2 linked regions of the Struthio camelus genome follow. The protein of the gene in region 1 binds, or shares a complex with, the protein of each later gene. Links are inferred from orthologs where the notes say so. Each region holds a gene or a part of one and is shown on either strand. Other genes may lie near its edges.

Region 1 (3,913 bases):
ATGTGTACTTTCACATTGCATGGAAGTTCTCAAGGGCGCAGGTTGAAAAGGGAACTTTGGTTTCTGTAATTAACCACAGGTAACTCTAAGTCAGCAAAACCTTTACATAATGTTCTCTTTTTCTTTTTTTTTTTTAAAAAAGAAAAACAAAAGAAGTATTGATAATGAGACAAAAGTCACTTACATAGATAGTCATAATCCAGGCAGTCCTGGCTCGACCTCGATAGCATATATAAGGCATATATGTAAGTGGTGTCTCCTAAAGCCAGCCTGTTAAACCTCCATCTGAGGGCTCTGTGTTTTACGGCCCCCTGGTGACTTCTCATCACACCTGATTTTTAAGTAGTTCTTGCTCTAACTGCCAGCTCTGCAAATAATATCTACCTTGGGCTATTTTTCTCTCTGTGTTTGTCTCTGTGTTTCTCTGTGTTATGGTACCAGAAAGCTGTGGGCAAAATCTGCCTTTAGTGAGGACTGCACAACGCTACTATTTTTGCCTAGTGATCTGAAAACTGTTAATAATTCTGTCAGTGATGGGTAAGCAAGAGTAGGTGCCACGTTCCTGACTAAAGGGTGGTCCTGCAAAATACTTACTGCTTAACCTGGTCCAAAAAAACACTTATGTGCGTATTTCAAACTAAGTGGGTGCCTCTGTGTTTTGCTGGATCAAACTAAGGAGACCAGCACCATGAAGATTCGCACCACAAAGTTGCTTTTTAGTGAAGTTGGTAATTGTTCAACAGCAGATGGAAACAGTCAGCTTTTTACTGGTCTTTAACGAGCTTCTCACATATCTCATAAGATAATCTTCAAAATAAGTATAAACTTCCAAGACTTACCCATGAAGTAAGTGGCAGTTTTACAAACAGCACTGCCAAAAATAAAATCTTTCAGCAGGTTGGGAATGAGGGTGAATGGCATGCAGAAAAGGCAGAGCATTAGGTCACTGACAGCTAGTGAGAGCAGAAATGTGTTGGTGACCGTTCTCATCCGTTTGTTTCTTATCAGCACCGTAATTACAAGAATGTTCCCCAAAACACTGAGCAGAAATATCAACGCGTACAGCAGAATCCGAATGGTCTGATGCAAATCTGAAAACGGTCACAGTGAAGAATCAGTCAGGAAGCATACATTCGCTGTGTGTCCCCTCCGTAACCAAAAGGTAAAGCTTCTGCTAAGGCTGAGGTCTCTACACCAAGGTAAAATCGGTGGAAGTTCTGAAATTCTTAAAGTTATTCTGGTCTACCTGACGTGCACGATATTGAAATACAATACATGCAGCACAGTGGACATTTGGAGAGCCAGGTACAACTTCGTAAAAGCACCCTCTGCTCAAACCCCTTAGCGTGCACCGGTCGCTCACAACGGAAATTCCTCCTTCATGCCAAAGGGAGAAAGGAGATGGCAATCAAAAGGGTTTTGATACATGGATGATTTTGTTCAGCTTCAGAGTGTTATAATTTCATATTTAATCACTTTCGTACATGGTATCAGATCAGATATCTCTGCTGCTATTGATGTGTTTGAAGAGCAAAAAATATGTTTCTTTCAGCCGGTAGCAGAGCTATTTACACTGTGTGCCTGGTATTGCTACTGTTGCTTTCCCATTCTCACTGAAATTTGCTCTAGGTGAATTTTTAGCTCCCAAAGTCAGCACATACCGCCTGTTTCTCATCTTAACTTATCAGCAAACAGTTGATTTTGCACTCCCTCACAGAAAAAGCCTCCTGTAGCTGTTTTTCTCTATGGTGTCTCACTTTCAGTGAGAACTAATGCTGTCTGAGAAAAATCTATTTTCTACACATACCTTTAGAAGGGTACGGTGGATCATCCACGCAGAAAAAAGTGTCATTTTCCAAGATGATATCACACAGGAAAGTAGAAATATTGGTAGCATTCCCAAGTAAGCTGTCATCAACAATTTCCATTCTTCGGTAGCCGTGGGTTAGCTTTTATGAAGAAAAGGGTTGGTCTGTAACTATTTGCCCATTCTTTCAGTAAAGGCAAATATTTCTCAACGAAATCTTCCGTAGTGATAAGTGAGCGAGGTGGTTGTACAAGTAAGCTCTTTTAACTATCCATCAGGAATATCCAGTGCACAGAATCCTGCTCAGGGGGGAGAAGATTCATTCCCGGGGCACGCAAGGCAGTTTAGGTTCAGAAAAGCAAAGCATGAGTACACATACACATGCACATGCACATGCACACATAGGCGCACACGCGCGTGCGCGCACACACACACACACACACACACACACACACACACACCTCCTCCCGTACCTCCTTAGATCCACCCTCTTCTGTTACTGGCCTACTGTTGGGATTATAAACAGACTAGAAAAAGATTATAACATTAACCCCTTGCAAGATTGCTTCTACTCACATATCTGCAATATTTCTCAGAGGAAGTCTGTTACGCCACAGCCAATAAATCATGACCAGTAAGTGATGAGCATGATAAATCAGTCTCTCAGACAACAAAATTTAAAATGGTTAAGAGGAGCTGAATAAAAGGGCACAGAAGAAAAAAACACAGTGAAGATTTTCTGTGCCTTTTATAAAACCAATTATTTGCTCTACCTTTTTCAAAGTGAACTGAAGACTGGCTATGAACTGGTTCAGAAAAACAAGGGCCATTTATTTCATTTGGGGAGGTGCTCCACTAACTTCATATGAAAGCTCTGTAAGTGCCTGATCCAAAACCTAGTAAGTCAATAGAAAGACACACTAATTTCAATGTTCTTTGGATCAAACCTTATGAAAGTACACTATTAAAATTATTGTTTAATATAAGCAGAAGCCTATACATTTTCTCGGTGCAAAGAGCTGGATGCAACTTGTCTACAAATTTGATGAAGCAATAACCGCTAGTGTAAAATACGATGATCCTGGTTGTTTACAAGAAATTCTTTTTTATTTGTTCTGTTTTGTGAATATACAAACATCATCCTCTCTGATACTTCAACAATGTCATGGACTTTTAACGTGCCACGTACAGTTGGGGTTTGTTTGCTTGTTTGTTTGTTTTGGCTTGGGTTTTTTTTTGAGAAAGATAGAGAAGACGTACATGTAGCTCATGGCAAAACATTTTATTATAAATGAATCCCTGCTACAACTCAACTGAAAACAAATTTCACATGTAAAATCCCTTCTAATTAAATAGGCAGAGTAATAGTAGTTTTAGTCTGACCCCTTAAAGTTGATACACAAAGGCTGGAAGGCCTGGATTTCTTTGCCAGTCTCTCCAGCCTTAACGTGCAGTGCCATTAACTGGAATGGCTAGATTGGAGAGCAGATTGAACAGCTGCAGCTAAAGTTCTAATTTCTAATTCTCATTTCTTTAACAAATTAATTATAAGGTTTCCATTTCTTGTACAAAGTCTTGCAGCTCTTAAAATCTGAGCTTATTAATACAGACTCAAGCTGGCAATCAGTGTATATGATGTACTTCACATAGTAACTGTCTCATCAGAAAGAAACATTCAGTCCAGCAGGGTTCAATTCCAGTTCCAAAGGTGTATCATACTGGTAGGAAATCAATCCAGAATGACTCTTTCGGGTTTATTTTTTCCACTTGTGACTCTCAAAATGTATGAAAATTATATTTAAGAAATGAAAATTAAAGTATATTTCCATTTTTACAACGATTGTGCACTAAGCTTGAATACTAAGTACTGAGATCTGTGAAAAAAACTGATTTAGTCTCAGCTATCTAGTTCACCTTTACATTTGTGTTTCGTATGATGCAATTGATGAGTGTTACTGATCAATCACTTCTATTAAACGACAAACATTCCCCATTTACTTAAATGCAGATTTTAAATTTTTTCTCTTAGTTTTGAATTCATTTTGAATTATTCCAGTATTTCATGAATGTTTTCTCTGTCAATTTCCAATGAATTCAGCAGGCCCA
Region 2 (3,913 bases), on another chromosome or scaffold:
CCCCATCACCCCGTCCCACCACCATCATCACTCCCCCGTCCCACCACTGTTCCCATTACCCTCTGTCCCACTACCATCCCCATCACCCACATCCCACCATTGTCCCCATCACCCACTGTCCCACCACCATCCCCATCACCCCCATCCCACCATTGTCCTCATCACCCAACGTCCCACCACCATCCTCATCACACCCTGTCTCACCACCGTCCCCATCACACTCTGTCCCACCACTGTCCCCATCACCTGCTGTCCCACCACTGTCACCACCGCTCCCCCGTCCCACCACTGTCCCCATCACCTCCCATCCCACCACCATCCCCATCACCCCCACCACTCTCCCCACCAAGGCGAAGCCACAACACCCCTCTCAGGCCAGCAGCGCTACCAGCTGCGCCGGGATGCCGGTGGCTGCTCTCCCTGCGCCCAGTGTGCCGCAGCCGGGCGACACAGGGAGCGGCAGGGGTCCGGTTTGGGTGGGGACGGGGCCTGGCGGTGAGGGAGCTGCCCCGCAAAAGTGACAGCGCCTGGGAGAAAGCGGCTCAGCGGCCCTTCCTGGCAGCAGCAGGCTGGCTTTCTCTTGGCCCGCTGTGGGGCACCTTCCTGCCACGGGGTTTCTGCCTTTCGGATGACTTGACCCCTCTCTTGCACAGCAGGCGGTTGGCGCTGGGATGCCCCTGCAGGCCCGGGGCAGGGCTCGTCCCGCGGCGGTGCCGAGGAGACGGGGAGCAAGGGCGGCTCCCGCCAGAGCGGCCCCTTCCTAGGGGCGCTGCGCCCGGCCCTGGAGGGTCCCCAGAGCTGCTGCTTCAGCGGGGTGCCCCTCGGGCCGGCCCCCGGCCCAGCCGCCGCCGACACGCGGCTCCCAGGGGAGGCTCGGTGCCTGGTCAGCCAGCCAGGCTCTTTGGCCGACGAAGGAGCCGGGGTGGCAGCCTGAGCAGCGGGGCAGGATCACGCCGGAGCCCAGCGCCATCGCTGCCCGTGGCGCCCTGCAGCCCGCTCGGCCCCACTTGGGGGGGGGGGGGGGGGTCGGTGTTCCCTTTCCCCTCTCGAGGTCTGGGGGCTTTTCAAAAGAAAATGAGGGGCCCCTTCTCCTTGAGCAGGCGGGAGGGTGCGCTCGGCACAGCCGAGAAAAGCCCGAACCGTTTCTTCCCCCCCGAAAATAAACGCCGGCGCGTGTCAAGAGTGAAAAACCCGCCGCCCCCGGGCAGGAGCCGCCACCGGCAGCCCCTCACCGCCGTGTTTGGGCTGAGGGAAGGCGGGGGGGAGGGAGAATCCCTTGGCTGAGGTGTAGTTTTAAAATCTCCAGCCGCCAGGCAGCCGGCGCTCGGGCTGAGAGTTTCACCTCAGCGAGGGCTGAGAGCCCGACGCGCCCCGGCGGGGGCCAGGCAAAGCCCAACGGCGCCAACCGCCGCCGCCTCGGGGAGGGGCGCCCCGCTCCCCCCCCCCCGGCCCCCGACCCGGCTCCCCCCGGCCCGGCGGGCGGCGGCGGCTGCGTCAGAGCTGTGCAAACAGCCGCCGCCGCTATTTAAGGGGCCGGCGGCAGAGGCGGCCCTGACTGAGTGCCGAGCCTGGGCGCGCACGGCCTCGCTCCCTCGGGTCTGGCCTCGGCGGCGCAGCGGCAGGTAGGCGGCGGCGGCCGGCACCCCGCGGCGGGCTGGAGTGGGACTTCAGTGGCGCTTTGATTTCCTCTCCCGCCCTGCCGAAAGGTCGGGTTTTGCGCACTGCCAGTGTTTTCGGTCTAAGGTATACGGGGTGGGGGGGGTGGCGAATGAACTTCGTGTTTTTTTGGTTTTTTTTTTTTTTGCCCTTCTTATGAAATTGTAAGGCGGTTGTTCGGTGCGCTGTTCAGGAACTTAAACTGAGTCACCAGCTCCCGTGCAGGTAACTTGTGTAAGTGGGAAGTAGCCTTAAAGCGTTAAGCTTTAGCTACGTTGTTTCGCCTGTTTTTACGGAGAGTAATTTTTATGTGTCCGGAAGAAAAGCCTGTGTCCGTTTATATAATCAAATAATCTAGCGAAAGGACATCGTTTTTTCTAATATTCGTTTCCTTAAGGAAGCAGCAAACAAAAATCATTACACTTGAGCTCTCTGCTTTACATCAAGAAGAGTATTGCCACGCTGCACGTTATTTCTTACTCCCGACCAGCTTTTACCACCTCAACGGTTAGATCCAGTGCTGGGGGGGAGGTTATAGATTTTGGTTTTATTTTCCTTCTGTGGCTGCTTTCCTCCTCACTGTGTGACAAGATAAAGCCTCTTGAGCGCTGCAGTTCAAACCAAAGAAAGGTTGCTCGAAGTAATGGCTCCGTAAAACTTTTCAAAATCAAGTATTTGCAGTAACAGTGGGTTTTAGCACAACAGCGGAATAGTGGTGTTTTTTAATCCTGGGATTTTCCTCGGAGCTGGATGTGTTTCTTATGTTTTAGTGAAATGCAGCTTCCAGAAAAGCGAGGAGGAATGGAGTGAATCAAGGAGATGCTGCACAAAGCACAGTGAATTGGTTTTATCCCTTCCTGTGTTACTTAACAGCCCACAGATGCTTCTGCCTCTTACCCAGGGATATTTAACTATTAATGTACATGTTTTCCAGCTTAATGCTGATCCCACAGTTATCCCTGTTTAAAAAAAAAAAAAGCTTGCTCAGAAGCCGTTGCCTCCAAAAATGAAGGTGGGGATAACATAAAATATCTGATCGTTTTAACCCCTGATTCCTATTCTCTCCAGCAATGTACAGTGGTATATGCATCTGCGTGTTCCTTGCTGTGCTCTCAGCAAGCTCTTTCGGGCAGCAGACTGCGGGCTCACACAATGGGAATCCACTGGCTGCCGAGCTTGAGCAGAGTTTGACAGAGCATCACCGGCACGTCCGCGCCCCTTCATCCACCGGCCCGCTGAAACCTGTCCCGCGGCTGGATGGAAGCATCGACCAAAGAGCTAACATTGGTGCTTTGTTGGCCAAGTATCTCCAGCAAGCCAGAAAAGGTAATAGCCTACTTCCTATGCTGCTTCTGCGTTAGTGGAGTTTCCTTCAGAAAAACCTAGATGTTAAGGGAACCCTGTCATAGTCCAGCATGGATTACCACAGAAGATAGGAGGTAGATTTTTGCCTAGTTATTCCTGAAGTAGAGAGCATTCTCCTTTTCTGTTGTTGCAAAACTCTGCCAAAAAGATTTTTCACGTATCATCCACTGGCTGAGAGCTGGGTACAGGTAACAGGAAAATTTAAACCTCCCTGTCAGGTTCTAGCTGAGCATTTATTTATTTATTTTCACTTATTTTCATAGCCTTGTAATTATTTTGGTATGTTTTGCAGCATGTTTTATTTCACCCAAAATCTAGTAATTGCATTTTCTTGAACTTTTTCATTTAAAAAACCTCCATTCCTCTTTGAAGTTAGGAGAGCAGGAAAGCTTTTCTGTGGCTAAATACAGACCAAATGGCTAATCTTTCCTCAGCCAGGAACATCCACAACAGGGAAATCTTCTGAGTATTGGACTTTCCATGTAGTTGTTCTCAGGGAGAAGTTACAAAAGCATGCGAGCTTTTGAAAGATCGGAACTTGCATTTATGAACACAGTGCTAAAGCAGTGGTAAATAAAAGTGTTTGCTTCAAAATGTGTCAATTCCTATTTGGTTTTGAGTCCCAGGCAGCCTTGGAGTACAACAGAATCTTGCAGTTACTTAAAACCTCCATGGCACTGCATTTGTAACAGGGTGTGAAGCACTGACAAGAGTAATGGAATTTGAGGGCTTGATTTTTTTCTTATGTGATATAGTCATTTAAGGAAGAAACTGTATTACATACATGAGCTAGCTAGGGAAAGAATAAAGCTGTATAATAAAAGTATATATTTTACATGCACACACACATATGCTGTCTGTACTATCAGTAGATGTGATGGATCAAAATGGT

Evidence for each region.
Region 2: the proteins of CCKAR (region 1) and CCK are in contact, whole or in part, in a cryo-EM structure (PDB 7MBX), measured with the Homo sapiens proteins. The link is inferred for Struthio camelus from reciprocal best matches to the Homo sapiens genes CCKAR and CCK. Residues at the interface, in NP_000721.1 of Homo sapiens: Cys94, Phe97, Asn98, Pro101, Asn102, Lys105, Asp106, Phe107, Thr118, Met121, Gly122, Val125, Tyr176, Phe185, Asn194, Met195, Cys196, Arg197, Phe198, His210, Leu213, Leu217, Ile329, Phe330, Ala332, Asn333, Arg336, Ala343, Glu344, Leu347; in NP_000720.1 of Homo sapiens: Asp96, Tyr97, Met98, Gly99, Trp100, Met101, Asp102, Phe103.

Annotation. Positions count from the first base shown.
Region 1 is NC_090945.1:66,705,236-66,709,148, reverse strand, and holds the start of CCKAR (cholecystokinin receptor type A), read right to left. Parts: upstream 2,284-3,913; 5' UTR 1,929-2,283; coding exon 1,808-1,928; intron 1,092-1,807; coding exon 840-1,091; intron 1-839. UniProt on the Homo sapiens protein: Receptor for cholecystokinin. Mediates pancreatic growth and enzyme secretion, smooth muscle contraction of the gall bladder and stomach. Has a 1000-fold higher affinity for CCK rather than for gastrin.
Region 2 is NC_090943.1:51,799,371-51,803,283, reverse strand, and holds the start of CCK (cholecystokinin), read left to right. Parts: upstream 1-1,533; 5' UTR 1,534-1,622; exon of another isoform or gene 1,623-1,743; intron 1,744-2,724; 5' UTR 2,725-2,726; coding exon 2,727-2,982; intron 2,983-3,913. UniProt on the Homo sapiens protein: This peptide hormone induces gall bladder contraction and the release of pancreatic enzymes in the gut. Its function in the brain is not clear.